Drosophila melanogaster: one gene and its partners. The protein of the gene in region 1 interacts with the protein of each later gene in a pairwise test. Each region holds a gene or a part of one and is shown in the gene's direction. Other genes may lie near its edges. The genes, in order: Kah, B-H2 and Aef1.

Evidence for each region.
Region 2: the proteins of Kah (region 1) and B-H2 interact in a two-hybrid assay, tested with the Drosophila melanogaster proteins (one large-scale study listed by BioGRID).
Region 3: the proteins of Kah (region 1) and Aef1 interact in a two-hybrid assay, tested with the Drosophila melanogaster proteins (one large-scale study listed by BioGRID).

What each region holds. Positions count from the first base shown.
Region 1 is NT_037436.4:580,547-592,633, reverse strand, and holds Kah (kahuli), read left to right. Parts: upstream 1-3,359; 5' UTR 3,360-3,671; intron 3,672-7,168; 5' UTR 7,169-7,192; coding exon 7,193-7,617; intron 7,618-7,677; coding exon 7,678-8,155; intron 8,156-8,224; coding exon 8,225-8,650; 3' UTR 8,651-9,810; downstream 9,811-12,087. Other genes in the region: Ppm1, read right to left, coding at 10,013-11,071.
Region 2 is NC_004354.4:17,310,875-17,320,022, forward strand, and holds the start of B-H2 (BarH2), read left to right. Parts: upstream 1-3,706; 5' UTR 3,707-3,995; coding exon 3,996-5,037; intron 5,038-9,148. UniProt on the Drosophila melanogaster protein: B-H1 and B-H2 are regulated by members of the wg signaling pathway; wg and dpp. B-H1 and B-H2 are coexpressed and functionally required in R1 and R6 receptor cells and primary pigment cells for normal eye development.
Region 3 is NT_037436.4:21,431,805-21,443,681, forward strand, and holds Aef1 (adult enhancer factor 1), read left to right. Parts: upstream 1-1,623; 5' UTR 1,624-1,897; intron 1,898-2,068; exon of another isoform or gene 2,069-2,243; intron 2,244-3,220; 5' UTR 3,221-3,415; coding exon 3,416-4,205; intron 4,206-4,268; coding exon 4,269-4,405; coding exon of another isoform or gene 4,406-4,843; 3' UTR 4,844-6,835; downstream 6,836-11,877. Other genes in the region: CG33288 (uncharacterized protein), read left to right, coding at 1-1,000, 1,062-1,189; CG5664 (uncharacterized protein), read right to left, coding at 7,115-7,927, 7,985-8,650, 8,709-9,365; Alp1 (alkaline phosphatase 1), read right to left, coding at 10,567-10,718, 10,828-11,877. UniProt on the Drosophila melanogaster protein: Transcriptional repressor that binds specifically to fat body-specific enhancers, namely the adult ADH enhancer (AAE) and the enhancer that controls yolk protein gene expression.

The sequences.
Region 1 (12,087 bases):
GTTAAAAATAAGGAAAACAAAAACATTTCCGCTTTTGTTTCTTTGAATTTTGACACGGTTGATGTTTGGCTGCCATTGCACATGGCACTCGGAGCCTCCCCGATCCCGATCCCCATACCCCTCTCTCTCACAATCCGATCCCATCCCCAATAAACAGCCACTGATTCAAGTGGCGGCACATGCCAACCCTCCGTCTCTATCCTCACCCACCAAAAAACACATTCGTTTGGGCCTTGCAAAGTGGCAGCCACCTTCGGAATCGCTCCACTTGCTCTTGGAAAGTTCTCGCAGATGGGTGGCAGGGGGATCGGGACTAGGGACTCGGGATCGGTACTCGGTACTCGGAGTTTGAACTTCCCGCAACTATAGCTCTCCCCTAATTGGTATAAATAGAACTTTATGATCTCGCCACGGAACGGCACGATCCAAAACTTTGATTCCGCGCCCAGGAATTACTCACACTCACATATCCGGCCCGAAGGCCCTCCCTACCCACCTTCCATCCGCATCCAGATCCATTTCCATATCCACATCCATCCGACAAAACCCTTGAGTTCACAAGGAGTTCCCGTAAACAGGATGCGGCTGGACCTGAAATTAGGTGCTGAAGTTGCACCGCTCCGCATAAGTTATTGCCACTCGATCTCGGGCCAGATCCATTGATCTGATTTCGATCCATCACTACAATTGGGGATAATTTACTAACCCACATCATTGTGGATCTTTATTTACCAAACAAAGGCGGAGCAAGTTGTGTGCCTTCTTTACTTCTTGTTGAATTTCGCATTACGGCGGATTTCGCTTATTTATCTGCGTAAATAATTGGACACCGTCTGGAATTTGCAAATGTGGATTCGATTCACTTGCGGATTCAATTCAGACGATATACCCAATACGTACAGAAGTGCACCACCACGTAGCCCTCTGCCTTTTACCTACGCAGAGAATGAGATCCCAACCACCCGATCTTGGCGGCAGCAGTTAAAAATAAAGATCCAGGGGCACTTAATAAGCGGTCATGCACTGCGGGAAATCGGATGCTTGATGCTTGAAATCACGTAGATACTAAGAAGAGGTCAAGTTCAGGCTATAATTATGAAGTTTGGATTATTGTCTCATTTCCCATGACCAGTTTACTGAGTATTCTCTCAGTGTGTGGAGTTGTAGAAGGAGTTGCAGTATGGAAGATTGGATCCCGCAATTGCGCAGCAAGTGAGAAAAGCGTACCGATCCCCGACGGTCTGGGATCTGGAGGGGCTTCCAGGGATGGGGAAGCGCTGAAGGCTGGAACCAGGACGAAAATAGATTTATGGCCGCCAGTCACGACGTCTTCGGCGGTTTTCCAGAATCGCACGCTCCGGGTGAGGCCATGGTGTATGGGTATGCTAGGGGTGTACTATGAACCGCGCTGATCCACAGCAATTTGCTGGGCCGCCAGTTGGGGACACTTCCTTTGTGGGACTTCCTTTCTTGTCTTATTAATTGCCGTGATTAAAGTCGACGCAAAATGTCTTTAGCACATGTCACGCTGGCAGAAGAAGGCCTTTCCCGTGTCCAAAGCTCCGCGATGACGGTGATGCATGGCTATGGCCCAGCCTGACCTTACCACTCAAATTGCATTTCCATGTTGGCGCCAGACAAAGCCCACCCCTTCTTCCCCTTCCTTCCCTTCCTCTTAGCTTTTCCATTCGCCACCAAGCGATTTCCTTTGTCTTCGTCGCGTGGGCAGCAAGTTGTAGAGTGTGAAAATGCCACAAGAAGTGCGAAAAGTGCGATCGGGAAATAAAGTCGCGGACAGGGAGCCACTAAACACATTTGTTGGCCACAAGGGGTGGCCTTATAAATAAACCCATTACAATCCCCGCCCAACTGTAAAGATCTTTTGTGAAACATCAAAATCCAATTCAAACCAGAACCATAAACAGAAACAGACACAGAAACCGCCGCTCGGCATAAATCATATCGAATATATAGAAAATACGTTAGCACCCAATACATCTGAAGACCCCAACCGAAAAAAAAAACACCCAAAGGGGCGACATTAAGTTCATTACGCCTGAAAAGTCGAAAATGAAAAGTGGAGGAAACGAGAGAAAACGGCAACACCTGCGAGAAATCCGTTGGATTTCTAAGGCCAACGGAGGTGGGGAATCTGCAGAGTGCACACTTTTGGGGGCGGAATGGAATGGGGTGGAGAGGTTCAGGTGAGCGAGTCTATTTTGGATGCCCGCAACAAGTACGCAGGCGAGGAAAATGCCAAATTGCATACGACTGCGTCACTCTTCGCGAAGAGCACCCATTCCCATCCCCATCAGCCAACAGCAGGAGAAGAATCCGAGCAGCAAGAAGAGTGGGAGAAGACGGGTAGCCGGCTCGGCTACCGAAGAAACTGCCCAACCACGAAGCGAGAGTAGTGCCTCTCTCTTTCTAGGCAAATCAGCATGGGGCAGGCGAAAACACACTGACACATGGGGCAAATTCCCACAGTCGAGGTCACCGAAATATCACTAGCTAGACTAGAGGTACAGCTATCAGTCTATCGAATTGATAATCTTCTCGACATACAAAATTAAAACAGACTATATATTGATTCTACAAGGGGAAGTAGGCAACTAATATATAAAACATTTATCTTAACATGTGAGACTACATCCTTATATAGCTCAAGTAATTAATTTCATCAGTTTACAACAAATACCACAAATACAAAAAAAAAAGACCTATTACAACAACCCTGTCTGTTCTTCAGCGAGTGTGTAAGGTTTTTGACACTGACTGCGGATCGTTAGAAGAATTCTGCGCAGTGGTCCTGCCAGCAGGAGCGCCTCGTCACCTCGGGCACAGTTTTCCCTTTCGGAAAATGCAATGGAAAGCCATGGCAGAGAGGGCTGCGCAGAGAAAGGGTAGCGCAATGAAAACATTATTGTTATTTTTAAACCGCGCACACTTGTTCCGTCGCTGTTGCGTCGTGGTTCGTTCTCGAAGTCATGTTCGATCCGATGCCGATGCCGATGTCGATCCGTACCGTTCCGATCCTCGGCAAGAGCGACCAACAGCTGCTGGCTCTGCGTCAGCTTCGTCACCTCCTCGACGTGGATGCGGATGTACACGGAGCGAAACGGGGGGTCCCATGCCAGAAATAAATCCGAATGGAAATAGCTAAATGGAAATAACAGAAACTGCAATACTAATACAGTTGGGGTGCATAATACAGAAGTGTAAGGCTATTTTTCTCAGTGTACGAAAATGTAGGAGAGGATGGGAGACCGAGACCGCGAGGTGGACGCCGCCGGAGGCAGAAGAATCGCCGCGGCGGCAGCGGTCGCAAGATGTAAAAACTGTAAGTGGTCTGGCGAAGAACGCTCAGTTCTTCCTGGGATCTCGCTGCGTTCGCTCGCCTTCACGGATGCGCAATCCGTCCGTGCGACTAATAAATCCGTTTGACACTTATCGAGATTCAGTGCGATCCCCAAAATCAGCATCACCAATCACCCATCACCCATCACCCGTTGCCATCGCGGACTCTTGGCGGGTGATGAGATTCGTGGAATTTGCGCTCCGTGTGTGATAAAGCATTGACTTCCCATCGGCAACTGAATCATCCGTCTATATTCGAGGCGGAGCGACGACGGCAGTGGATTGTTTTCCGTCAACTATTCGAACTGCGTGGGGTGAGTTGGCGAAATGTGAACGGAAGGTGGTGGAAAGTGAACTTCGCTCTTCAAATTTGCACCTTTACCGCCTTTCGATTACACAATAGAACACACACCTCGCTCGTGCATAACTATCTGCCCAGGAACCGAAACAAGATCGAAAATCTGCTTGGCAAATTGGGCCAACAGATTCGCGTGACTGCAAATGAGCGGCGTTTTCCGATCCCCATTGCACACCCCCCAAAACCCCCCCCTTCACTCCACCCAACCAACGGACAGAACGGGCCGCACTTGTTAAATTAATATTATTATTTCTTTTGATATTTTGACATTTACGTGAGCAATGTTTGCATTGGCAATGAGCTTCTGCGAACGGGAAATAGTGACCGGGACGTACGAGTATAGTATAGTTGGTATCTTTCCGCATGACTATATGCATTGGTATGGGTATGGCCATTGTCTCGCGGTGGTAGATGCGTAGATCCTCCGTCCAATTTGGGCGCATAAAGCGGATAAACAACAGATCATACAGTGCATACATATGAACCTGATTAATGCGGCGGTTCGGGGATAATTAACCGCCGTGATTTACAGGTGAAGCCCGCTCCTTTGTGTCCTTTCCCGTCCAAATGTTTATGCCGCGGGTCCGTAAACAAACCGCCGGCAACGGGAACTGCAGTTGAGGCAACGATTGATGAGGGCCTGCGATCTGGGGTAAACAAAAACTGATGCCCAAATCCGACATATCCACTGAGGCGCAGTGGGTGGGGGTGGTGTGCCTACTGTATGGCATACACGCTGTCTATCCATGGTGCATGGCATTGACTCTGGACTGGGAAGCAGCCAGAGGTTGAGGCTGGCGCTCTGGATTTTTGTTTATTGTGCACTCGTATTTAGCCTGAACTAAAATGTAAACTATGCTGGGATCACTGCCCCTTCCCCCTGCCCCTGCCGCTTGGGATCAGGCATCAGGTATTTATAGACGCCTGGCAGCGAGGGGAAGACGCATGTTAAGGCCACCGAAGCCACCTCTGTTGGCCATCGCCATTCTCTTGGCCTCTGTGTACATTAACAGGACTTTGAACTCTTCCCCGGTCCAGCAATACGGACACGGTCTACTCGGGCGAACTGTACGGCCGGAGATCGGAGATGGGAGATGGGAGACCGGAGGGCGGAGACCACGCAATTTGCGCAGATCTGCGGCGGCATGAAAAGGAAAATGGCAGGCGGAGAGTAAAATAATTCACCCGGTCCGTGGTCCATTGTTCGGTGCACATGGAACGACCAAGTTGCGGATGGGGGAGCAGAAATGAGTCATCCAACTGGGGGGACTCTAAGCTGCTTAAGTACACTGTGGGAAAACTGTTGCTCAAAAAATATGTAAATTATAACATATATGAGTTACTCACACCAAAAACAGTAGTCATGGAAAACTCCAAATATATATTTCAACTATTTCTGTTCTGCTCCTTCGATCGGATCGACTGACTCCTCGTTTAAGAAGTTCCTTGCGTTTTCCATTCGAGTCCGATGCAAATGTACATCGTCGATCCCTACCCACCTTCTTCCTGTCATCTGCGATTACCGACCGATCTGCAATCGCACGGGGCCGAGGAATAATTAATTAACGACCTGTCAGAGAAACATGCGACATTTCGTATGCCCCAAGCGACTCTGACATCGGAAATATGGCACAGACATATTTCATTTGGTGGTGTAGGGGGAGTGGGGTTCTGTGGCTCTATGGGATCCATAGAGGAGCTCCGCCGATCACTTGTCAGCTGCTTTCCCCGGCGAATTCTCAGACGCATATTGTTCTTCAGAGACTCGAGCATTTCGTGTTCGATGGAAATCGGGTATTGAAAATGACGCGATTAGTTGGAAAATGGCATACATTCGGGTGCTAGCTACATATATTTAAATGTATACGGCAACCACCTGGGAACAGGGCCTCAGGTGGTGGGGCACATAAATAAATGGGCCGCAAATTGCCAAGACACAAATTATGGACGTCTGGCGGCTTTCGCTCACACCCACTCAAAAAGGGGAAGAGGCGCGAAGGTATTTCCTTCCATGGAAAACCACTTTCGCACACCTCCGGCCACCTTGGCAGCGATCATTCCGCTTAATTGCCGCAGAAACATTTTGATGTACTGCTCCCCGAGGAGAAGCCGATGGGAATTGGCAGCTAAGCGGGCGCAACAGGTTGCCGAATTCGTTGGCGGGGGCGGATGGCAGCTGTTTAGCTAGGTTGATTCAGGGGGAATTTTCACCCACATTTTCCTCGATACCGAAAAAGAAACACACATCACGCGGCTGGCCTCAGGCGAAACACAGAGAGTGTTAGAGAAACAAACAAAACCGAAAGCAAGAGCAATTTCAAAACCAAAACACCGCAGAGTATTGCACATGACCTCCTCAAGAGTGGAAGAACGCCACTGTTTCATCGATTCTTCCAAATTTCTCAATGGGTTCGATTATTCAGAAAATCTTTTGGGGGCAGAAAAATTAAGGCGAAAACTTTCACATGATAAACAAACGATTGAGTGGGAGAGAGGTATATACATATATACATAAATGGCGCCGCTTTGAAAGAAATACAATAATATTTTGAAGAACATTACAAAATGAAGGCATTTATATTTCAAGACTGGCTTCTTTGTGAGCATCCCGGTGGGCATGGTACAGTGAACTCCAACATATAATAGACCCAAGCCCACCTGACTTTCGGATGCGCCAATTACGAGCGAGATTAATCAATGCCAAAAGAACATGTACAAATTAAGCGCACTCATTTCGACATAAATTTATTTGACCACGCAAAGAGGCGAAGATGGCGAACACCGGCACAAAATCGGCACCACCGAGCCGCAAAACAGCCAACAAGTGCCAGAATCAGAATCAGAATGCAATATGCAATATGCAATATGCAACATGCGGTATGCGGTATGCAATGACGTTAATCATACGCCCCGTGGGCTCTGCTAACCCTCAACCATGTGCGATAATTCCTATTCGGCAATGATGATGATGCAGACGACTTTGGCTCACATCTCAGACTACGAGTGTGTGGCCTCTCGACTCTGTCCTTAATTATAAATTGATGCATTTTCAAATAAACAAACACGAATTATGGCGTAAGCACAAGGAGGGAAAGATCTATGATAGGTGGGATGATAGATGGCGGCGATCGCACCATGGATGTGCGATCCGCTGGGGGTTTCTTATGCCGAATAATTCGATTATTGGTCTATTTTTAGTGCACTTTCTCAAGCTATAATGAACCACTAATTAGGAGAATGTGAGTTTAATTAATGAGCATATCGTTGATATAAGTCTTTTACACCATCGTCCGGAAAAGGTGAAGATTTTCAACTCAGCACTGACTAGTAGTGGCTAATGTAGTGGCTGATATGTGTTAGCTAGGTAATGACGCATCACGTGCGCATTTAGCAGGAAATATTTCGGGTATAGTCATGCTGTTTTCATCATAGAAAATACCCGATGCTTTGCAGGCATTTCACCAGCTCTTCAACACGATGACGAAGGACCAGCAGGCGACACCCATTCCCGAGGAGTTGTACAATCTCACCCAGCTGGCCGAGGTTACTCTGTCCGTTGGTCCTCTGGTCACGGACGAGGTGAAGCCACTGCCACTGTACGCCTCCTCGGACGACGACTCCAACTACTACAGCCACAAGGTCTTCGATCGCAGGAAACTGCGTCGTTGCACAATCTCCGACTCGAATTCCTGCGCCAGCAGCAGTTCCAGTTCCACCTCCAGCCGTCAATCCTCGGAGGACCACCTGGGACTCCAGGGGCACTCATCGGTGCACCACCATCATGGGGAGCAGGGCGAAATCCTCAACAGCACTTCGTTGCTGGAGGACGAGCACATCTGTCCCGAGTGCGGAAAGAAATACTCCACATCCTCCAACCTAGCACGTCATAGACAAACGCACAGGTGAGCTAAAGTTTTGTACATTTTTCTGGTGAAGTATTGCTAAGTCTATGTTCTTTAAAGATCAATCATGGATAAGAAAGCGCGTCACTGTCCTTATTGCGAGAAGGTGTACGTTTCGATGCCCGCCTACTCGATGCATGTGCGCACCCACAATCAGGGATGCGAGTGTCAGTTCTGCGGCAAGCGCTTCTCAAGGCCCTGGCTCCTCCAGGGCCACATCCGCACCCACACAGGCGAAAAGCCCTTCAAGTGCGGCGTCTGCGAGAAGGCGTTCGCCGACAAGAGCAACCTGCGCGCCCACATCCAGACCCACTCGAACACCAAGCCACACACATGTGCGCGATGCGGCAAGGCCTTCGCTCTCAAGTCCTACCTGTACAAGCACGAGGAGTCATCGTGCATGAAGAATCGAGGAGGCGTTCCGGGATCGGGAGCAGCATCCGGCAACCGACCTCCCTCGTCGCCAAAAAGGCAACAGGCGGAGGTAACAAGCGGCACCATCTCGGCATTGGCTCCTGGATCACCTGCCGCGGCAGTGGTGAGTTCCTTAAATCGATATGACATCTCTTCACTTGAATAACCTTCTGATTTACGGTGGTGATTTCAGTGTGCTGCCTCCGATTCAGCCAAGTCTACGCTGGCCAACAAGCTGTTGCAGAAGGAAAAGGATCGCAGGCAGGCGGCCATGGCCTTCCAGGGCTTTCCGGCTGGGCCAGAAGTGACGGCTTACAGCCACGCAACTTCGGCCCAGGAGGAATATGAGAAGTTCAAGCGGATCAACGTGATTCAGCCGAAAGTGATGCCGCATAGGGTACCCAGCCTGTACCAGGACCTGCTCCCCAATCGCCACGTGCCACTGGCCCTGCCTTTGGCGATGCCGTATCACTTTCAGGGCCAGGCCACGTCCACGGGCCAATCGGATCCCACCTCCGTGCAGGAGCAGCCCGTTGACTTTTCGCCCAAGAACAACTTCACGCACTCGGCCAAGACGAGTCCCTTCGAGCTGACCGGGAATTACGCCATGGTGGCATAGGATCTTACCAGCCAGGATACCACGCAAAAGACACCGGAGAGAGCAAAGCAGAGCACTACCCCAAGGCCATTCGAGGAGACCGTTACTGAAATGCCACTTAATCCAAGTCCTTTCACAGCCCACCAGCCACCACCAATCCAGGACATTTTCTTACTGTAGTCAACGAATATGTGATAATAATGCAAAAGAGCTAAAGTACCATTAGAGAGTAGATGATTCCAGAGCAAAGAGGAGCACGCACAGCTCGTCGAACAGAAGAGTTCCCTCTTCTCGGAAAACTCCAAGGAAGGCGAGGTCATACACAGTAGATATAGAGAGACAAGGTTGGATCGATTCCCGATTGATCGTTTGATCTTCACTTAGTTGTAATAAGAGACTTCTTAGAGACTTGCCAAGAACAGCGACAAAAAACCAATGTAACCAGTATTTTTTTATAGCACATACGATTACCGATCGATCGGAGAGCGAAAGATATAGCATCCCAGCCCCAGACGATCGAACTCCGCAGCCAAGCTACAAACTTTACACATAGTCATCTAGCTTTATGATTTTACAAGAAGCATAGGAATATCCAAAGATATCCACCCCACTTACTAACCCCATTAATCACTTCGCATTAAGGCATTGATCGGCTTCCTGCTTCCGGCACGGAAGTCGTTCCAAAACGAGAGAATTTCTAGTCTTTATATTTAAATAAAGCGCACATTTGGCGAGATCGGGAGCATTCCCGATCCCATCCCCTTTTGTGCGTGGCGTTACTTTAAGCACTTTATGGCCGCATGTGGTGCAATAATTGACATATATGTATGGCTAATTAGCGCCTGGCACTTAACCATATTGCAATCTGTATACTTCTACTAGCACGATTCGGAGCAATCGGCCTTCTCATTGTGGCCTTACCATCTAGTATCGATCGATAGACAGATACTCACTGCATTTCGATTCGACTCGATTCACTCCGATTCGATCTACAGCTCTACAGCTAATCGCACCAAAGATACTTCGATTTAGATGCGCACGCATACTACCTTTATTTACTCGTACTTACCATATACACCAAAAGATATATACACGTATACGTAGCTATAAAATGTACTATAGATTTGCACATTAACTCGAATTAAACAAGAGATCCGATCCATTGATCCCCGAGAAAATACAAAACGAAGTGTTCTTATTTCCCTGCTAGTTGGGGGAAAGTGTAGTGTATTGTGTTATATTTGTACTGCCGGGAAATGTGATGTGTTGACTGATAATTTTGTAGTGCCAACAGCGTCTGGATCGACAATCAAAGTACAAAAGTACATTAAGAGTAAGAGCAAACAAATGCAGTAATGAAAAATGTAAAAGGTAAAACAAAAGTTAAAGATTAGCCTCGGGAGTTTCGCTTTCGCGAAGTCCGAAGCCCAGGCCCAATCGAGAAGTCGACGACCCCGAAGATCCCTGAGAACAGGGAGTTACGACCTTCACCGACTGATCCTGGATGTCGCCTACGGTTTCAACGGGGGTCTTTCGTTTGCCTCCGCAGCGCACCGCCAGATCCTCGTAGCTCTTGTTGTGCAGCAGGCACACCAGGATGACGGTCATGTTGTCGCCGCCCACATTGCCCGTGTGGCCATCCGGAGACAAGCAGCTGTTCATCAGTTCCTCGCAAATGAGTTCCGGCTCCATGCCATCGCGTATGCGCTTGTGCACGAACTGGCAGACTTCGAAGTTGCTCATCACATCCCAGATCCCGTCGCAGGCCAGCAGGACAAACTCCAAGTCTTCGGTGATGTCAAGAACCTCCACGTCGGGATAGGCCGTCACGATTTGCTCTTCTGGAGTCTTTAGTAAGTTCTTCTTGTAGATAAAGTCGCCGAGGGCGCGGGAAAGGGCCAGATTGCCATTGACCCGATTAAACTCCACCCAACCACCGCTGGCCATGATCCGTTTGGACTCCTTCGCGTCATTCGGCTTGTGGTCGACGGACAGGGCGTGAACCATTCCAGAAATGCAGGCGATGGCCCGCGAATCGCCCGCATTGGCACAGTACAGGCGACGCTCCCTAATGAGCACCACAATGGCAGTGCAGCCGGCCGTTTGCTCATCAAGGGAGCCATTTTGCAGCATCTCCCGATCGAAGTCGAGGAAGGCCTTTTTCAAGGCCACCTCAATGCTATTGTCCCGATACTCCGGCCGCTTCGTAATGAACTTGTGCAAATGCTTACCAGCGTACTTGGCCACTGAAGCTCCACCGTGTCCGTCGTAAACGGCGAAGAAGGCCGCCTGCGGGTCATCCGGCAGGGAAAGAATGTGGGTGTGGGCGTCCTCCATATCCACGCGCCATCCTTGCATGCATGATGAGCCCACGCGATAGCTTGCATTGGCACAGCAAGCGGTGTCCTTGGTGGTCACTGGTTCCGACAGTGTCTGTCCCATTGTGAACTTGAGGAAGGAGTAAGCCATTATTGACGATGATAATGCACCAGGTATTCACCTGTTTGTCCTTCTGGCGGTCAACTTATATTCGGAATTCTGTTGGGTTATGGTCCTTTTACAGGTACGCACGCCTCTTAGCTACTATAGAAAAATAGTATATTCAGTCTCTGATAGCCCAAATGGGGTTTTTGAATTTAGACGACTGACTCGGTAGCCTACTTCGACTTGATTAATCGAAACGATTAGGATTGCCATGCAACTCGGATTACTAATATCCGCCAAACGTTTCCCACGTAATAATAAGAGAAAGGATTTTCTTTATGTTGTTGATAATTTTGGTTTTGTATTTGTTATTTGTTGTCGTTTTTTGTTTCTTTTTATTTTTTCCTTGTATTTGTTTTATAATTTGGTTTACTTTGTTAGCGTTTGTTTTCATATACACAAATACATTTAAGTATATAATGATACACGCATATTGCGCACATTAAATCTTGTTCGTTTCATATATAGACATTTATTTTTAATTGTTTTTTTGTGGCTGTAGATTACTACACGTGTATCCTTTTAGGCATATGTACGAGAGTATGTAATTACCATAATTTATATGCATCTGCATCTTTGTGTAGGTGTATCTGCATTTGTTTCGGTATCTGTATCTGCACTTCGCCTTGTGTGATTTTCAAGTTTCTTAATTAATCCGTTTTGTATATATTCTCTTTAAAGTGTAAAGACACTAAATTTCACAATGTTCGATTTCATTCCCTCCATGGGATGCAGAGGACACTCCCACTCCCCAAAATTTCCGAAGATGGGATTGGGAGCGGTATTCCAAGCCAGAACTAGCCGAAAATCATTTGGGGGAACTAAAGTTAATTTGTCGTGTGACGTATGTTTGTGTCTGAGTATGTAAATAAGTTACGCAAATTTTTGGGCTTAATTTATATCGTGTATGTATATAATTCTATATCGATATAGTCGTATTATAAAATCTCTAAACAGCCATAAAAGTCAAAAGT
Region 2 (9,148 bases), on another chromosome or scaffold:
ATCTTATAGATAGCTTTCATAATGATCACCCAATCAAAGTAGATCCTTACCACTGTACATCTCGGTAAGACCCCTTTGAACCAATGTCGGCAGCATCAAGGCGATTAGCGAAAAGCGGTAAATGTTGTGTTAAACCTCAATTAAGATCCAACGGGGAGAATGGGGATTGGGATGGGGCTATGGGTATCTGGATATCTGTATATCTCGCGAGGCGGGAGCCGAGAAGTCGGGGGATCTCAACCAGGTAGACAGGGTACGCCAACAGGATGTTAAACTCTTGCGGGCAATTTGAATTCGCTTTGACTGACGCCACACGCCAGGGTCAGCTCAGCGGATTTACGATCCGAATACGAATCCGCATCCGAACTGCTAAATGATCTCACACAGGCGACGACGAATGGCGCCTAGAAGGTACATATATGTATCGTGTGTGTGTGTGTGTGTGTACCTTTCTGTATGGCCCTGCTTGAAATTCCCCCTTACTTTGGACCCCTGTTAAGTGCTTTTTAATTTGTTTGCATTCGAAATCCGAATTCCCTGTGTTCCGCTTTTATCGGGAATCAAGTGAGCTGAGTGCAATTACGACACCTTCAAAAAGCCAACGGCCCAGGATGCGAAAGGGCGGCGGGAACGGAGGATACTCATCCTCAAGGCACTTAAGCGCATCCCCGGGGGGGTTGTTCCACCCACTTTTCAGCCACTTTTCACCGCTTTCCACCCGCCATCGCAATCTGTGGGTGGTGAGTGGCACTGGCTAATTAAAATTACTTTCCAGCGCGACACTCGGAAATTTACTAGCGCGTTGGACGGGGGAGGAGGAGGAAAAGCGGAGGTGGGGGCCACGTTAATGGTCAGCTGGTCAGTTTGCAGCCACTCTTAATGAGCGTCCCCAGTCATTTGCTTGGGAACGAGACCTTCTCGCATCGCCAACTGCGTATTTGTCATTTTTAATGTCTTTTTAAACCACGCGAAAGCTGAACCACTCTTGCCCCGTAACGGTCTCTTCGACTATCCTATCCGAACTGGGCTTTCACCGATGATAGGATTCTGAAAGTTGGTACTCGGTGTTAAATAGCCCAATGGTTGAGAATACCTTTGGTTTTGGTAAGATCTGTAGTGATGATGTGTTTGATTTTTTACCAGGAGGAAGATATTTAATGGTGTTATCGTTCTGAACATGGGTACTAGTGATTTGGTATTCATAATCTCGAGTATTTTGTGGTTCCGTTCATGTGTGTTGAGATTTTCACGCACTTCTTTTCAATCCAATTTTCATTCCAATATTCTTACTTGGATATTATGAACCTTAAAAAACGCGCATACAATTTCTGGTCAAGCCAAAAAGTCACAACTTCCTCCCATCAGTTAGAGTATATTGCTGTCGTACTTCAACTTTGGCCATTTACACCGAGTTCATCTTTAATTAACTTATTTCGCTGCTGTGTATTATATTTCGCTTTGTACCCGCTGAACGAGCGCCAAGTGCCGTTAGTTAGACCCCGACAAAATGGCGGACGCAGCTGGAAAATGAAAATACGTCGAATATCCGTGGGATTTTTGGTGATTGCGAGTGCGGGAGAGTGGCGAAAGTCAAGTTGCCTCATTAGCAGGCAAAGGGAATGCTGAAAGATAAATTATTGTCACATTTTTACGGAAACCTCATTAATGGAATGGTGGTGTTTCGACATCGAGAGCGAGAGAGCAGTGACAGATGGGGAAGTTACTTTTAGATGGATAGGCTTGGGGGAATTCCAATTAAAATTAGAACACGTGCAGTAAGTGCCAAATTTTACTCAATTTCTTAGGATTTCCGGTGCTTATCCCTTTCAGTACCACTTACGTTATAAATATATATTTTTTTGAATAAATGTAAACATTGTATTAAATTGGTCTGACCTTAGTTTTATTTATTGATAATTAAGAAAACAATTATCAATAAGTAAATTACATAAAAAAAATGATAAGTTTATGTTCATATCTATTAATGCTATAATTTATATTACAGGAAAATCAATCTCATGGTTTATTCAGAGGCAATACAAACTGTACCCAATGATCCCGGTCACGTCTTCGTTTTCCTGCTCCAGCCCGATCGTTTGTCAGGTCGTAAATGCTTGGGATATATCTATGATTACGATACTCTATTCCTGGAAACGTTTGGCGACAGGAACTCGGATACATACCAATGGCCAGTAATACCCGACAATTGCTGCCGTGAGGCCATTTTGAAAAGCTAACTATACAATAAACATGTGGCAGCGGGAGCATCCGCCTCCAGGCGCCAAAGACTGCCTCCTCGAGTAGCTCCTGCCCACCGGAGCACGCTTGTTAGTCCACAGGAATGAGGTGGTAGGAACCCCCAGTGGTATACAGCCCCCTCTTGGATAGCCACCCCCCCCCTGAGACCCATTCACTTGCACATTAGGCAGCAAATTGACATCGATACAAGAAGTAAACCAGAAGTGAGTGGAAAGAGAGGGCACTATCGCGTGCGACAGAGAGGAAAGCGTGCAGCATTTAACTGCTGCCAATTTACTGTTTAAATGCCAAACAAAAAGTGTTAACAAGCGCAAAAATAACAAAAGACACCAACAACAAAGTACGCAGAGCGAGAGGGCCCGAGGCGAGCCACAGGCGGCCAGCCCTTGGGCCAAAGCGAGACAGACAGATGTCGTGCCGGCTGCCTCTCGCTCGCACAAACCAGTTTAAGGGGGCGTGGCCTGGCCACAAAACAGGGTTGACAGCATCCCATCCATCCATCTTGCCATCCGGATATCTGTCCATCAGATACAACAGCAAAAGCAACATTAGAAGCAAAAGCAAAGGCGGCAGCTGCCCTGCTGCCATAATCGTGTTGAGTTTCAAGCTGCCATAAAAAGTTTATGGGAAGTCGTATTGAACAGGGAAACCTTCTAAAACAGTATGATTTTGCTACTGCTGGAGGCATATTGCATAAATGTTCTGTCATTCCTGTACAAACTATATTTAGTTGGAAAGTTAGATAACAAGTTATTAGTATATTAAAGATGCATGGCTACATATTTTTTAATAATACTCGCTATTATAATAAAAGTTTACCATTAACACTGTTCAAATTTTGTTTGAAAGCAGCTAAAATAATATGAAATAACCAACTGACCCCTAAGACTATATTTAACCCTCAAAGATAACGAACACGTTTTTGTTCAGATTTATAGAAATCAAATAAGTACAAATAACTTTTTATATAAATTGACAAGACTTAATAAACCCTATTTATTTAAGGATATGAAGTTAATTGCAATACTTTTTGTGCGGTTGTAGTTCGAAACAGCCAACTCCACCACGTGCCATAAAAATAACCGTTAGACGTGCGGCCATTGCCGGCGGAAAGTCACCACACCCGCCAACTTGAGTCCCGCTGATTGAAGCCTAATGAATGTCAATTGCTGCCAATTACGACCAATAAGTGCGGGCAATAAATGTGGGCAGCCGTGGGTGCGAGCGAGAGGCAGTCGCGGGGCGACAGAGAGGGAAACTCACCACACCGCCACTTGGCCAGGTCAATGAGCGAAAAAGAGACGACGACAGGTGGCAGCTGATGGGAAGCGGTGGCTCAACTGGTTTTTGCTGCCTTCTTGTTGTTGCTGCTGTTGCCGCTGCTGCTGTTGTTGCTGCTGCTGCTGCCAGTTGCTGTTGCTGGCAGCAAGTTTCAGTTTCGGTCGAAAGCCAAAGGCGAGCGGTTGTTGCTCCGCTATTGAACATCACAAAGTGTGCGCACCTCAGCGACATTTGCGTTAAAAACCCAGTTGGGCCAAGAAAACATTAACCAACGCAAGAGCAATCGAAAGCGGAGTTCAAGAACTTGTCAAGTTTAAGAAATAAGTGCGAGCAGCTACCAACAATTAACTGAAGAAGTGCTAAAAACTCGCGTCACCCATACATACATACATAGCTGTTTGTTTTTTTTCGGTGCAAAGTGCAGGTGCAGCAGCGGAGTCGTCGGCTAACCACACATGACCACAATGCCACCGGAAATGTCCGCAACAACGGCAGCTCCCGTTGGCAGTGCACCGAGTGCCACCGCTCATCATCCCGCTGCCGTCGGCGGCGGTATGCCGCGTCCAGCTTCCCCGGCCGTCGGCAGCAACACGACGACAGCCACGGCCACAACGGCGACGCGATCCCGCTTTATGATCACCGATATTTTGGCAGGAGCCGCGGCCGCATCGGCGGCGGCAGCAGCAGCGGCGGCCGCCTTGGCAGCCGCCTCTTCCGGCGGTGGGCGTGGCAGTCCGACGGACTCGGAGCGGGAGCAATCGCTGGTCGCCCAGCATCACCACCATCACCAGCAGCAGCAACAACACCATCATCACCAGCAGCAGCAGCAGCAGCAGCAACATCAGCAGGCTGCCCTGCAACAGTACATCGTGCAACAGCAGCAGTTGCTGCGCTTTGAACGGGAAAGGGAGAGGGAGCGGGAGCGGGAACACTATAGGGAGAGACATTCGCCGCCTGGCAACAATCCCTATGCCCACCACCCCATGCCGCCCCATCTGCTCGCCCACTTTCCGCCCGCCCACTACGCCGTGCTGCAGCAGCAGCAACAGCAACAGCAGCAACAGCAACATCCCCACCCGCATCATCTGCAGCTTGAGAGGGAACGATTGGAGGCACTGCATCGGCATGGCCACGGGCTGACCGGTGATCCTGCCCAGCACTTGAGCCACTTAAGCCACCTGAGCCACCAGCAGCACCATCCGCATCTGCATCATCCCATGCACGATGAGCGATCCCGGTCACCGCTGATGCTGCAACAATTGGGCGGTAACGGTGGCAATAACAACAACAATAACAACAACAGCAGCAGTGCCAGTAACAACAACAACAACAACAACAACAGTGCTAGTGCCAACAGCAACATCATCAGCGGCAACAGCAGCAGCAGCAACAACAACAATGGCAGTGGCAACGGCAACATGTTGCTCGGAGGACCCGGCAGCAGCATTAGCGGCGATCAAGCCAGCACAATCGACGACAGCGACAGCGATGATTGCGGTAAGTCGCTGATCATATATCATAAACATACAATGAATCTGTATAGCAATATGGTTTAAGCTGTATTTCAAGGATAAGGCTACATCGGGAATATATAAAGTATATATATATATATATAGCAGAAATAATTAAGTTGCTAACTAAAGGAAGAGACTAGTTCATGAGACAGACATACAGATTCAGATGGATCTTGAAGAATAGCACCAAGTGCGGAATATATGTATATGTATATAGACACTTTATTGCAATATCAAGTAATATGAGAAGAGCAAAGCGGGGATACATATAGAGAATATATATATATATATATATAGCAATATGATATTTGTGATATTTCAGGGACTGGACTGGATGGGAAAGTGAAATCTAATGAACAACTGATATTCAAAATAGCAAGAAAAAAGAAAGACAAGATATAATGCGAGATATAAATGTTTCAAAATACCAATCAAGGCTTTTTTATACGTGTTCCTGACGTACAAATTAAAAGCAATCAAAATCTAGCTAATATATATGTATTTAAGCTCTAGTAAATTTGCATAGAATATTAAAGGAAATAAAGGAAGCTAGTAATTATAGTATACAAATTGCCATTAAAACCAGTTCTATTTATAAACTTTACCAAAGTTCAGCTGTATTAGCTATTTTATTAAACGAAAAGGGCTTTTATGGCTATAGAGAATAGAAATTATTTCATAGTATGCACACCAATAAATGTTAGCTGATAAATTTGATTCGGTTGGTATTAATTTGAAACCCAAACGGTGGACTTTTGTTTATACACTGAAGGGGATCTCGAAACCAATTTACACCTATCCATCTGACCCCTGAGTTCGCACCACTTTAAATTTACGATTTTCCCCGCGACCGGGATATATCATATATTGAGTGCTAAGCGTGGTTGTTTTTCCTGTTGTCTTTGTCGTTTTTGTTGTGGCTGTTGGCTAATAGATAACGGCCAACAACAACCGCACCAACAACCACCGTAAATTGTGCGGCTCGAACGGGGAAAATGCTGGCTTGATAGGCGAAGACTCGAAAAATACAGGTGAGTTCGAGTCTGAGGCAGGTGTCTTAGGTTTTGTCTCTCACTCTCTCTTTCTTCCTCTACCTGTATATGTCTCTCTTTCTGTTTTTTCCTTTTCAATCCCCCCCCCCCCCCCTCAACTTATTGGCCAGATTAGCCAAGTGTTCGCTTATTTTCAACATATTTCCCAGTCAAAACTGTCAACAGAATACCCTTGACTGCCACGCCCCCCGCGTGCCGTCAACCTTGTTTTGCATGCAACAATCTAATTGATTTTGTTGCCTAGCTTTAGTTTTGCTTTTTTCCTCTCGTTAAGTGCTTTTAAACGATATGCAAATTATAACAAATTACTATTAAATAGCCGTAATCGTGCGTTTGCAATTGATTTGCAGTAATATAATTTAGAAAGGCCGAGAACGTGCACAAATATATATGTATGTATTTGAAAGAGCATGGAAATCAGAACAAAAGGTCAGAATGTTGAGTTTGCTACAAAAGATGTGTGTGTGTTTTTATTATAGATTTTTTACGAAATCCCAAAGGATGATAAAAATGAGTTTCCACTATTTTTGGATAACTAAAATGCCGAGTAATTTTAGTTATTTTAATAATTGCCCGGTCTCAATTCAGTTTTTTTTTTGTTAACGAGAAATTATAAGCCCCTAAGCAATTTTGTTTCAATCAAAGCTTCCCCAATTTCATGGACAATTTTCACATTTATATGTGTTTTTTGACTTGTGCCAAAATCAATTACCAAATTAAACTATAACCAAAAGCGGAGATTTCTCCCTCCAAGTGACCCCCTTCTGTTTTGACTTCCCGCTGTCATTTTTCCAAACCGAAATTGCCTTGACTTGAGCCACAAGCCAGGCCGTGCCACACACACGCAGATAAATAAAAACACAAATGAAACTGAAGAAATCAAAATCAAAATTTAATTTAATCTGCTGGCTGGGCAGCCGGACAACCCACACACAGTCTCCTCTACAAAAAAAAAAAAAACACCCATTGGCATTCTCGCTTTCTCTCTCGCTCTCTTATGAAGAACCCACGCTGAGAAAAATAAAAAAAAGAGTTATACAAGGAAGGCTATTCTCAAAATATAACATTTCGATGACGTTATTTAAAAATCAGAAAGCTTATAAAATATTAGGTTAACGGTGGACATATTATCCTCAAAAAAAAAAAAAAAAAATTTACAAAGCAGTTATTTTGTCCCAAGACTTTAGTTTAAAAATGGAATAGAAAGAAATAGCTCGATGTGCAGCGAAAGAGAGGGATATGTTAATGTACTCAGTACTCGCGTGTCACTTGAGACGCGTGCGAGCGACAGTTGTTGCTCATTCGTGCGCCTCCTCCTTCTCCTCGTCTTTGCTCACCTCTTTCTTGATCTTTCTCTTCTTTTATCCTTTTTTACCCACCTTGGCGTTTTTTACGAGGCTCAAACGACGATCCTTGCTTCGCACCGCGTTTGAAATTGACCCAAAAGCTTGTTCTCTGCCCAGCGAACCGTACACTGATCGAAAAAAGGGGGGATATCGAAAAATTATCGGTGAGTCTGGATGGTGGACGGGGTAACTCTTGCCACTTCAATGCCTCCATCGAGTGCTAAAAAAAAAAAGAAAAGACGAAAAAAGTTTCAATATTGAAATTGATATTTTCGGGCATCGTCTTTCACATATTTTGGCATTTCAGGAATGCCAGACTTTTGCTTTGGCTTCCAAGATCACGTATTCATATGCGGTGTATATGGCTCAAAACAGGGCAGACGAAGCTCATCCACTTAATCCACAAAATGTTTAATGGATATCCACGAAAAATTCACGTGCGCCACAAAAAGCGCAAAAGCGAATCAAGTTCGTTGCCCAAGTCTTTTGTTTCTATTTTGCAGTCTGCTTCGGCTTCTTTTCGGCGCTGCTTCTTATTTATATTATTTAAGTTTTGATTGATATGGCATATGCCCTTACCGACGTGTTTCATGGGTAAATAATGAGAGCTTTAACGTTTGATGGCTTGGTGAAATTAGAAAAACTGCTTTTAAGAACGAGCTATGATTATTAACGGCTTTAAGTACAAGGTTCTCATAGTTAATTGTAGAGCAGTAAAGGCTTCGTTGTTGATTTTCCAACATCATTTTCCAGCCGTTTTCCGTGAAGGAAATGTTAAATCGCAGACCCAACAGCCACAATAATAATTACAAATTATAATGCAGGTAACACGAAAAGCTAACCACCGTTATGTAAGACCACTCGCTTCTCATGTTGCTGCTGCACTTGCAACGTTTTCTTTTGTTGCTGTTGTTGCTGCTGTTACTAGACTGCACTAAACGCCAACATTATCAAAATGTTGATAAACGTTTAGCTAAAACAGAGGGGAAGAGGGGTCGGCAGGAGGGGGGGGTGTGTGGAAGTGGAATGGACTAAGAAGGTCTGGAAGAAGAACATTGCTTATATTCTTTAATTAAAATGCAAAAAGGCCAATTGCAAATGTGTTACGGCTGCTTCTTCTTCCCATGGTTACTGCCGCTTGCGCAATTAAAATGCAAACACAAAAAGCAGCAGCAACAACTAAAATAAGAAAAGAAGGAGAAGGAGCAAAAGAGAGGGGGCAATAGGAGCTGCACACTTAAGCATGTTTAATACAGTTTAGCCACAAGCACTTAATTACAAATGCGAATGTAAAAACTGCAAAGGGGGGGGGGGGCTTACCATCTGAAAACAGGGGCAGAAAGACTCAGTGAACGAGTGAAAGAGAGGGGGCGACTGGCGGCAGAAAGAGGGAGCACTACAAGCTCTGCAAGTGTGGAACAGAAATTGCGGAAATGCTTCGAAAGTCAAACTTCTTTGGGGAACGGTTGTTAATGCATTAAAAAAAGAAGGGGAGGGGGGGGGCGAGGAGTGGGAGTTGCCACAGGAGAAAGAGGAAGCCAGAAGGCGGAAGATGGGGGCGTGGTCGGCTACAGAAAGTGCCTCCGTTATTAGTGAAGCATTCAACAAAGTAAAACAGATTTCTGATAGATTTTCAAGCTCAAGTGATTTTCAAAAGCACGGAAAGAATTTTTTGGCCTACCACACTAAGTTAAAT
Region 3 (11,877 bases), about 21 Mb from region 1:
ACGAAGGACTCAACGGACAGCAGCAAAGTGATCAACGAAATACGGTTCATAAACGACGGAGTGGATGTGACGTCCAGGGTAGAGGAACAAATGCCAGATACACCACTGGAGAGCTCCGTGGAGGATCTGGAATCAGATGGAGAGCAAAAAATGCAGCGTGGTGAGGAGCAAGTTGACAAAATTGTGACGAGCTCTGAGGAGGCGGTGTCCAAAGTCGGCGAAGACGCGATAGATGTCATGGACTCCACTCGTAACTCGATTCAAACAGCGGTAAAAAATGCAGCAAATGGAGCTCGTGATGCCATGGAAGCTGTAGGCGAGCGAATGGCTACTGGAGCTCGAGGAGCCGTGGATACCGTGGGAGGAGCAGTAGGAGCGGCGGGTAAAGGTGCCCATCGGTTGGCCAGCGATGCAATGCACGCAGTGGAACAAGTAGGAAGTAGTGCAATGCATGCAGTGGAGCAGGCGGGCAGTAATGCGGTCAAAGCAGCCTCGGAAACAAAAGATTCGATGGGCAGGGCTATGGATTCGGTGACCAGCAAGATCTCTACTGAAGTACTGGGCGCCAAGGAAAACATCTCCTCATTGTTTCAGATAAAAGCGGCGAGGGAGGCTGATCCACAGACCACGCCATGTTCCACACCTCGCGGCGAGGATGACTTGTCCTTCAAAGAGGGGGCACCAAAGACCACCACAACGTTGGGTTCCAACGAGGAGGATGAACGAACAACGGCCTCTGTAAACTCAAACCACAATTCTGCAGGACATGGCAATGGTAATGGCAACATCTTCGAGCCAAGCACTACCTTTGAAGACCCTCTAGATGCAGTGGTGGAGCGCAGTAAGAAGGCGATGCAGGATGACATTCGGGCCATGCAACTGAGGGCAAATTCCCATATTCAAGCTGTGGCCCAGCAGAAGGAGGAAGATGCTAAGGGATTCGTGAAGCAGGTGATGGACAGGCTCTCGTGCCGTAACGAAAAAGCGGTCAGGATCGAAGGTACCTTTCAGTATAGTCCTTCAGTATATACTTACCTAAATTCTGCTTACCTTCCAAATAGATGAACTGCGTCCGCCGGCTGGAAGTCACAACAAAAACACAAACAAAGTTAACAGCGAGCTGAGTTTAACCAATGGGCAGGCACATGGTGATCAGTCGCAGGCTTCGCGGGTCTGCACGATTTTATAAAACTTGCACCTGCACTTTTCTGAGCAATTGCATTTGGTCTTTAAGTACAATTTAATAAAAAATAATGCAAACGAAATTCCTATACAAAAGTTCTGCACCGGGCAGTGTGACCGTACTGTGGCGGGAGGAAAACCTCTCAAAAACGAAAGAAAACTTACATATTCCTATGTGAATGACTTCAGTGGAACTAGCTCATTTAGCATAGAGATGGCAATTCGATATTCACGAGAAGTCACATTAGAAAATGATTTTATATTAATATGGTGGGAAAAAAAATAATTATAAAGATGTGCTGGCCTAAATAAATCTGAGAATTTTCCCAAATTTGATCTCTTATACCAACTTTCCCATTGAGTTCGGGGCAGTCATCGTGATTCCTTCACACTCGTGATCAGTAACAGGTCCCCCATAGCTATCGCCCATCCCCAATTGGCACTAGTTCATTCGCGTCTATTTTGTACGCGAAACAGTAAAAAAAAGAAAAGAAATATTTGTACTATTTTTCTAACGTTTATACGCTTTTTATAAATGAAGAACCAGCCACAGATAATGCTGTGAGGACCCGATTCTGATAGGCGAGAGCAATACGCGAACACCCTCCGAAAGGCCCATATCCCCCAAAAAACCGAATCGAGTGCGAAAAATGATGTAAAACGGGGGAAATCTAAACCTGAAAGGCCCCACACAGCACAGCCACAAAATGGAAAGGTAGGTCAATGTGTGGGCGCCCGAAAAGAGTTCAAGTGTGTCACTCAGTATACCCAATTCCGTCTGGAATCATTTGGCAAAAATAGCGTTTATAGACGTGTGAAAAACAATGGACATTTTCGAGCGGAGAGCTCCAAAATTAAAAGTATCCTAACCTCAAAAGAGCTTTTACACAGTACGTGTACGTGTGTGCGCTAGTGATGTCCATACGTGTGTGCGACTGAAAGTGGTTGTGACTTTTAGCTGAAGAAGGGAGCGCGAGGGGCGATCTAGAGGCAACGTGTTAGTGGAAAAACTGCTTTTGAAAAAAGGGGAAAATATCCCCCAAAAAGCCCGCCCAAAAAAGGTCAGTTCGGAATCCTGTCGATCTCGCCTCCGTTGAGATTGTTATCCAATTGGTAAAGTTATCACTAAGTTCTTAAGTTGCCAGAAAAACACATGTAATTTGGCGAGAAAGTAACACGCTGTCAATTCAACACAAAAAGAGAGATACCTGAGTGCTCCATGTGTGTGCGTGTTGTGTTGGCCTCAGTGTCTATCTTGTCTGGTGGGTGAGCAGGGGGCGGGTCAGGTAACTTGTCCGGCGAACGTAAAAACCAGCGTTCAAAAAATATATTAAAAGTTACATGCATGCAAGCAGCGCGCGTTTTATTTTGTTTCAAAATGCATAATCAATCGTATGTTTAATAATTTATGCTCTTTGACGTATATTCGAAGTTTTCATACCATCGAAGTCATAAAAATCTTTTAAGGATTCGGTCATCCGTTATGGATCTTATTTAAAAATTACTCATCACAGTTTGTTTGTGAGTTTAATATTAGTATGGCTCTTTAATAAATGTTATAAAGCCCGAAAATATTTACTCTCGCAAGAATATTGCTTTGAACGCTTAATACGTTAATCATTATACCTGAATGATTTAAAACATAGTTTCACACCGTAAAGTAAGCCAGTTACCTCCTTACAAACATGTATGGATATGTAAGCCGTGTAGTTCCAAATACTTATTTATGTAGAGAGGCTTGCCTAAAGGAGACGAAGGAGTAATATGCTAGTTAGGACACAAAATGGGCTTCAATGCGTTTCACTAATAAGGGCACACAAAGAACCATAGGAACCATATGGAAAGGGGGCTTCAAGGGGAGGAAGTGGAGCTGGAGCCGGGAGCCCAGCTATCAAAGTGTGTCAGCTATTGAATAATTTAGATTTATAATTTCGCAGTTAGGTATTTCGTATGTTTTGGGAATTCCTCACATATTTTTGCATACCAAAAAGCCAAGCCGCCGACTCAACTAATCCCAATCTCCCTTCTCCAAACACAGGCACTAGCAGCAACAACATCAGAGAAGCGCCCAAGATGAGCATGTCGTGGCATTTTTGAAGCATCGATCTTAGTTTGTTAGCCAGCTTTCTGTTCAAGTCACCGAGGTACCGCAGTCTCCCTCCACTATTCCACCAGATTCAAATCCAGCTTCGAATCCCGAATCCAGACTACCTAATCCCAGCAAGAGCAGTCCATGATGCATATCAAAAGCCTGCCCCATGCCCATGCCGCTGCTACGGCGATGAGCAGTAACTGCGACATTGTCATAGTGGCCGCCCAGCCCCAAACCACCATAGCAAACAATAATAACAATGAGACGGTCACCCAGGCCACGCATCCGGCTCACATGGCGGCGGTTCAACAGCAGCAGCAACAACAACAGCAACAGCAGCAGCAACATCATCAGCAGCAGCAACAGCAGTCGAGCGGACCACCCTCTGTGCCGCCGCCACCCACGGAACTCCCCTTGCCCTTCCAGATGCACTTAAGCGGGATCTCGGCGGAGGCGCATAGTGCCGCCCAAGCAGCGGCTATGGCAGCTGCCCAAGCTGCAGCAGCCCAAGCTGCTGCGGCGGAACAACAGCAACCGCCGCCACCAACTTCACATCTGACGCACCTGACCACGCATAGTCCGACAACGATCCACAGTGAGCATTACCTGGCCAATGGACATAGCGAGCATCCCGGAGAGGGCAACGCTGCCGTTGGCGTAGGGGGAGCTGTCCGCGAGCCGGAGAAACCTTTCCACTGCACCGTCTGCGATCGTCGCTTTCGACAGCTAAGCACACTGACCAACCATGTAAAGATCCATACTGGCGAGAAGCCCTACAAATGCAACGTTTGTGATAAGACCTTCCGTCAATCGTCGACGCTGACGAACCATCTGAAGATCCATACGGGCGAGAAGCCTTATAACTGCAACTTTTGTCCCAAGCATTTTCGACAACTGAGCACGCTGGCCAACCATGTGAAGATCCACACGGGTGAGTGATGAAGTGTGCTACCATACAATTTTGACCGAAACTGATTTGTGTCTTATTCTTTAGGTGAAAAGCCTTTTGAGTGTGTCATCTGCAAGAAGCAGTTCCGACAGTCCAGCACGCTCAACAACCACATAAAAATACACGTCATGGACAAAGTCTACGTTCCTGTTAAGATCAAAACAGAGGAGGATGAGGGGTGACTAGGACGAATGCCGTTGGCGGCGCACCACCATCAGCAGCAGCAACACCAGCACCACCATCAACAGCAGCAGCATCAGCACCACCCGCCGCCTCCGTCCCAGCAGCAGCAGCAGCATATCGATCAGCGTGGAGTCACCATAACCACGTTGCCCTCCGCCACGACAGTGGCCCAACATCACCAGCAGCATCAGCACATTCAGGATGGCTCGCCGCACCATCATTTTAATGTGGCCGCTCTAGGGGACTTATCCAGCGCTATGCAATTGGGCGCTGTGACGGCGGACGGGAGCTTTGTGACCATGGGCGGTGTTGTGGTGGGTCGCATCCAGCACACACGAGAGGAACTGCAGCAGCTTGGAGTGATCAAGGTGGAGTCACCATCGAATGGTGGCACAGCCACGACGTCAGCGACGGCGGAAACGCAACGCGAGGGATGAGTCGATGAGCTGCTCCTCGAGTACATGCTCAAGGAGGAGAATGCGGATGAAGAGGATGAACAGGAGCATGAGTCGGAAGTGGATGCGGATGTAGTGGAAATTCAGGAGCAGAAAGAGGAGCAGCGATCGAGCCAGAAGTGAGCCATGTTTGGTGTGTACGCTTACGTTGTTGTTAGTTGTTTAATTGTAGCGAACATTGTTGTTGTTGTTAAGGTTTAAATGTGTGACTAAGAACTTACCAAGATGATTGTATAGCAAACGCTTCAAAAGTAGGTAAACGAAAGGCGCCGACACCAGCACCCAGAGCTCCCAAAAAAATAACACAAACCGTAAACAAAAACAGAAACAAAAATACTAAAATAATAGTAAAGCTAAACTAAAAACCAGATGAAAGACCTTTGCAGAGAGTTGTCTCTATAGCAGCGCACCCCATCTCACATTCACAACCCTCTCAGCCCCGGAAATAGATTAAACCCCTCTCTACTCACTTATAAAATAACCTAACCCTAACTAGAGTGAAAATAGTTTGCTAATAGCAAGAGCAAACTAAACCCAAAAGGCAAAAAGCATTACGTGTACGAAGAACTTAATTAAAATATTTCCCAAAGTGCAACCCGTTTCAGATTGTAAATTGTTGACCCGACTCACTTTTAAGTTGTTTAATTTAGCATTTAAAGCTTAAGAAAAATTGTTGTACAACTCAAAGTTGGTGACGTTTTTCGCCATCTTGCAAGGGCGTGTTTTAGTCTGGGCTAACACAAATACAATTTGTTTATAAAATCAATAGCTTAATTATTTAACTTCGTAAACTTGTCAGCAAAACTTAAAAAAATATCCTGAACAGAAAACGGCAAAGAAAAATATTCTAATAGTGTTAAGTGGTCGAAACTATCTAATTAGCTCTTAGTCCCTAGAGAGCCATAGTTTTTAAATCAGCGTTTTGTTAATTTTAATTGATTAGTCTTAGTAGTTTTAATTTCAGCATTGGCATAATTTGGAAACACAAAAGCTGTCACGCTAGCCTTCGTTTAAATATTAGTTAATGAAGTAAACACAAAGTAACGCTAATTAATTCATAACTAATTACGATTATGAGATAGTAAAGCAACAAGTTCTGTACAAAGCCCAACTCCAATTTGTATGTATAAAGCGAAAGCGAAAGAGTTTAACTAAATTGTAAACGAAAACCTTTTTAAAAGAGAAAATAATATTTTCTAAAAATACAACATGTGACTTTTTATGTTAGCCCTTTAATTTATGTATGTTACCCTTGGTTTCCTCACATCCCGACTGTCCTTTGTTTCAAACGCCGGTCGCCTTTAAATACCTTTAAAAACTGCAGCAAGGGTCAAACCGAAAAGACTCCTGTATCAAGTTCCTATAGAATTCAAAGCGCAACAAACACGGATGTCCCCAAATGTATACGAATCAATTGCAAGCCGGGAAGTGGAGACACATTCAAAGAAACCTAGCCTATATGGAATGAATATTAAATAAATGTTGATAAATGTGTAGTGTTAAACAAATTAAAGACAAGACAGCAGAAACAAAAAACCGAAATCCCAACCTAGTAGAGCAATGATAAGAGCAACGCTTGAATCCGTGCTATGTTTTTCAAGGCCCTGAATGCAGATCCTCGCCAGGATCTAAGATCCCTAGAGAATTTGAAAGGTCGCTCTAAAATGAATGCTTAATATTTGATGCAGATCGGATTCTGCTCTTTGTAACATCTGAGCTCTGCACCCAGCTTTTCTAACCCTCCCCAGCGTATGCATATACTTAATATAAAAATGACGTAGTGAGATTAGCATTTAAGCGCCTACTTTAATGATAGTTGAGTGTGTAAAATGTAAACTGCAAAGAATTTAGACATACAATGAACAAAGACAAGACACGTTAGGCAAATCGAGATGGCAGAAGGATGAGGAACTGCAAAAAAACCAACAAGCAAAAGGCTTAAAAACAAATCGCGATAATATTATGTAATTATACACATATATATTTATTAATGTATGTATGTACATGCGCAGTAGCTGTATTTATATGTAAATGTGTACGTAATTGTGTATTTAGTTACAGCATAAATATATATTTGCAATGGAGAAATACAGAAACGGAATTTATGACAAACGGTAACGAATCAAATGCATTCTTATTTGAAACCATTTAGATAAATACTAATTAACGGGCTTAAAATAATTAAGTTTGAACTTTCGGTATGAAATTCCTTAAATTTAATGGAGCCTTAGATATATTTTCGTATTTGGGCCCTCATATGCCTCCCAATAAGGAGGAAGACGCAGAGTCTACTGGAGACATGGACTCTTCATAGCTCAGAAAGTTGTTCAGATAGGTTAACCAGTCCGACACATCGACCTCCTTGTAAACTTCGTTTTGAAGGAGTTGTCGCAAAACTCTCATTTGTCTCACATCCTCGCCATAGCGCACACACATCTTGGCCATATTGATACTGGCCACCGGCAGGTTCACCTTTTCCCGACCTGTAATTACTTTGGTGCTCATGCGCTCCTTCCAGGTGTGTACCTCCTCCTCCAACGCATCGAGCCTGAACACCTTCGGCGCCTCGCGCACAACTCTTCCCACAGGACTGATCCTCGCAGTCAACGGCTGCACGAGCTCCTTACTCATTAGGTACTTCCAAAAGCCTCCAAGATTTAACCACTTGTCATAGTCTTTTAAGGCGCTAAGGAGTAATGCTAGGTAATCCTCACGCGACAACTGCTCGTCATCGTCATCCTCAATCTCACTTTTAAGATTGTACTTTACCCATTGACGCGCTCTAAATTCTCCGACCACCTTTTCCGGTCCAAAATGAGTTTTTTTGGGAAAGAAAAAGAGCTTCAAAAAGTGGTCTGTGAACTCGAAGCGGAGATATGGGGGGTCCAACTGCCGAATAGCCATTAGGTAGGTGCGAACCTTTTTGCGATTGTGCGATTTAAAAATCTTGAAGAAGTCTTCGATGAGCAGATGGGTTTGGGGTCCCATACTAGGATATATCACAGCATTATCCTCGTACTTTAGCTCTGCCGTGTTGCTTACTTCGACAATTAGGGAAACAAGGCGCTAATAGTACTGAAAGAGTTACATAAAGCATACAACCCAAAAACATTACAAACCTACCTGGAGAATCCTCTGGCGTTCTGGGTACATGGACTTGGCCACTACCTGTCCATACAGACTCATAATTTGTTTAACGATGTCGCTGAGACGCGTTCCTGCTGACATTTCAAATACGATCGAGGCAAATGACCTGGAGTTTTCCTGAAACAGCTCCGACTCCGACTGCCTCAACCTGTTATGATCCAGCCAGGAGAGGAACTCTATTTCCAGTACACATGTGAGCATGTTCAGGACATCGCAGAGCCGTGCCAAGCGGACTGCGGGCGACATTCTCTTGAAGTCGTCCAGACAAAGCTTCCCACTCTGCCAGTCATACTGCTGTACATGTCGCAGAAAGACCGTTTCCTGGGACATATTCGCATCCTCCTCTTCCGAGAAGTTAAACACAAACTTTTCATAGAATTTGGTGTTTTCACGTATCTCTTCATCGCTGCAATGCGTTAGATTTTCCTCAAAAAGATCGATGTAAAACTGCAACTTCTGGGTAGAATTGGTTGAACGTGTTTCTCGCAAGGGGGGATGCGAGACGCCCAGAAAACTCAAGTAGTAAGGACGCAGGGCTGTCCAGCACGGGGGAAAGGCGTCGACCAAAAGAAAAAAGGTGCGTATAAGTTTGTTGTAGATGTCGCCAAGCTCCTTTACGCTTATCTCTTTGGCAATTAGGATCTGCATAAGGAATTCATGATATTATTACAATGTGACACCAGAGAAATAAGCAATCAACCATGGCCATATCTATTAGTCTGTCAAAGACTCCTTCGCCTGGGTAGACACCCTGCAACACCATCATCTCCAGAATGTCCAGGAATGTATCGTAGTGCTGGCCGTGCAACGTGGTTCGTAGCGCCTGAACGGCCGCAAAGTTTGGGCCATCCGGAAGCGCGGAGCACCGATGTCTTTGCGTGCACAGACTAGTATTGTAAAGACACCTGGAAACACAAGCTCCCGGAAGACGATCCTCGCTCTTCATGTACAGATTTGAGATCAATATACGCAGGTTAAACTTCCAGTTCAGTTTCTTGAGAGTATGATTCAGCGGAGCAGGATATTCGTTGGTCCTCTTGAGGCATGCCTTCCTAGCGAAAACCTCCCCCGGGGCCGCCTGAGGTTTGGTTCCTGACTCTAATATCGATTTACCATCTAATTTGGAATCTGATTTATTACTTGCTTTGGAATCTGATTTGTTAGGATCAGGTTCGGCAGCTGATCTGACAGAGACCATTTCCACGTCCGACTCCTGAGGCAGATGAAAAGGAATCGTCTTGTTGAACTCTAAATTAGTGTCTAAGACAATTTCTGCGACGTCCGCTGTTGAATTTATGGTATTTACGCTGTCTGAGTTCATTGCGAAATTCAATAATTCTTCGCCGTTGGAACCCATTGCAATTCCTTCGGTTACTAACTGATCTTCAGGTTCTTTGGTTTCAGGATTCTTTTCAACCTCTAGACCAGGACTAACGTTATGGCGTTAATTGTGGTGGACATCAGAGCGCGTAACAATTATTTACGCTAGAATATCAAAAGTATTAAAAACACAATTTGTGTTTTTTTTTGCCGGGGATATTTTTAAGTGTGACCGCTGACAGACCGCCCAAATATACGGTAAAACGATAGAACAATCGATACTAATGGGCTCAACGGCTTTTTAACTTATGCGATAATATCGAAATTATGGAAATAACCAAAATTCAAACTCTCTATTAAATTTTCTCTATTCAAATTTTCAATTAAAATGGTGTGTCCTATACGTCCAGTCCAGTCTTATTACTTGTGATTAAGCTCCTTCTTCAGTTCCGTCGCCGGCTTAAAAGGCTTTGTCGAACCAAGGGCTTGATCTCAACGTTGGACATTGAGGGCTTTCTTTCTTGTTTGAACAACCGACAATGCGTCCAATTTCAGCGTAGGTTTTACCTTCAGAGATCATGTTTTTAATCAAATTTCTTTTTTCGACGGTACAATGCTTTATGCGACCCATGACTTGAGAATTTTGGGCCTTCGTTTGGAAAAAATTCAATTAAAACCTTCAATTCAATTCCTTTTTATAAAATGTGTGGAAAAAAAAACCCAAAGCAATCACTTCTATTAATATTATTCAGCAAATACGTGGTCAGTGCTATGTTTGTTACCGCCTAATTTCGCGCACTTTTGCAGCAAGTGCCCAAAAACAAAAAGAACCGTTACGTTGAGAGAGTAAAAATTTATTGCTCAGAGAGACCACATATGGTACTTATTATTCATGCAATCTGACTTAAAAAAAAAACATTTAATAATTTTTTTTTAGGAAATCAACTTTCCACCTGCAGTAGTGCTATTATTTTAACCGCAGCTCTATATCGGTTAAGTTTTCATTATTTGGGGGTCTATCAATTGACATCAGGGAGATGATTTTGTAATGTAATTTGTCTGTTTTTTAATTAATAATTTTGGGAAGTGCTGTTGCTTCTTTGCTTATTCTCTTTATTCAGGAACTATATAAGCTAAAAAGTTAAGATTAAATATGGCGATTCTAGAATCTCCGCAATTTGTTTTAAGAATAGATCATTTTATTCAATTTCTAAACATATTTATTCCTAGGGGATTTTCTAGGGAGAGTATCTTGCTTTTGGCTGCAGATCGCAATATGTAATTCCAGGTCCTAAGCAAGAGGCGAAGCCCATCAAATGAGGCAAGGTGCTTTGTTCGTAAACTCCAGTGAAAAGATGAGACCATGGACCTTGAAGAAGATATTCCACAACTTTATACATTTCAAGAGTTTTGATTAAATGCTTGGATTTAAGATTATATATATCATTCAAAACCCATCTAAAAAAAAAAACTTAAAAACCAAAAAAACATGAACTCACCATGAGCATAGACGGCCACATCGCCACCGCCGTGTGTCTCCTCGGTCATGGGCACTCCATGTGGATAGATGGCATCCGGTTTGGAAAAGTCCAGGTTACGGAGATCAACGCGCTCCACCACTCCGTCCGTCGATTTGTAGAATCTCTCGTAGGCCGGGCCGTTGGCATATGAGATGGACGTGTAGGGCAGCTGGTCCACATTACTTAGCTCGGAATTGAGTCCTACTATGCTGTTGTTAACATCCGGATAGCCGCTGATCGTGACCGTGTGTCCGTGATCCGCACTCACCACAATTAAGGTGTCCCAGGGATTGGTGAGTTGTCGTGCCTTTCTCACTGCGTCCGAAAACTGAACGGTTTCATCCAAGGCCTTCTTGGCCTTGGTCTCATGATGGGCGTGATCGATTCGACCGCCTTCCACGAAAAGGAAATACCCGTTTGGATCTCGGGAAAGCACATTTATGGCCGCTGCCGTCATCTCGGGTAGCGTGGGTGTGTCTATGCTGTCGTCCATGTGGTACGCCAAGTGAGAGGCATTGAAGAGCCCCAGCAGGAAGTCAGTGTTCTGCGCATCATTGTTCAGGAGATCCGTACGACTAAACACCACCCTAGCATTACCCGGCTTTGTTTGTTGCCATTCCTCAATGAGGTTCCTATTATCCAACCGCTGGCCCTTGTTTCCGAACACATCGTTCGTGGTATTGGGCAAGAATTTAATGGTTCCACCGCCCATGACCACACGCAGTCGCTTGCCCACATCTCCGTCTATCAATTGCTGGGCGATATCCGGACAGTTTCCTGGATTTTGACCCAATTTGGTCACGTCGTAGTCGCTCTCGAAATCGCGATTCGAAGTGTGCGCATAAACTCCGGCCGGACTGGCGTGGGTAACCCGAGTGGTGGTCACCAATCCAGCGGATTTGCTACCTTTAAGCGCCCAGGCGGCAATCGAGGAGAGCCTATTCTGCGGCAAGCGCGATCCCCTGCAGTCGTTCAACTCCACATCGGCTGTCACTCCGATGGTCAGATAGTTCGCCTTGATCCCCGACA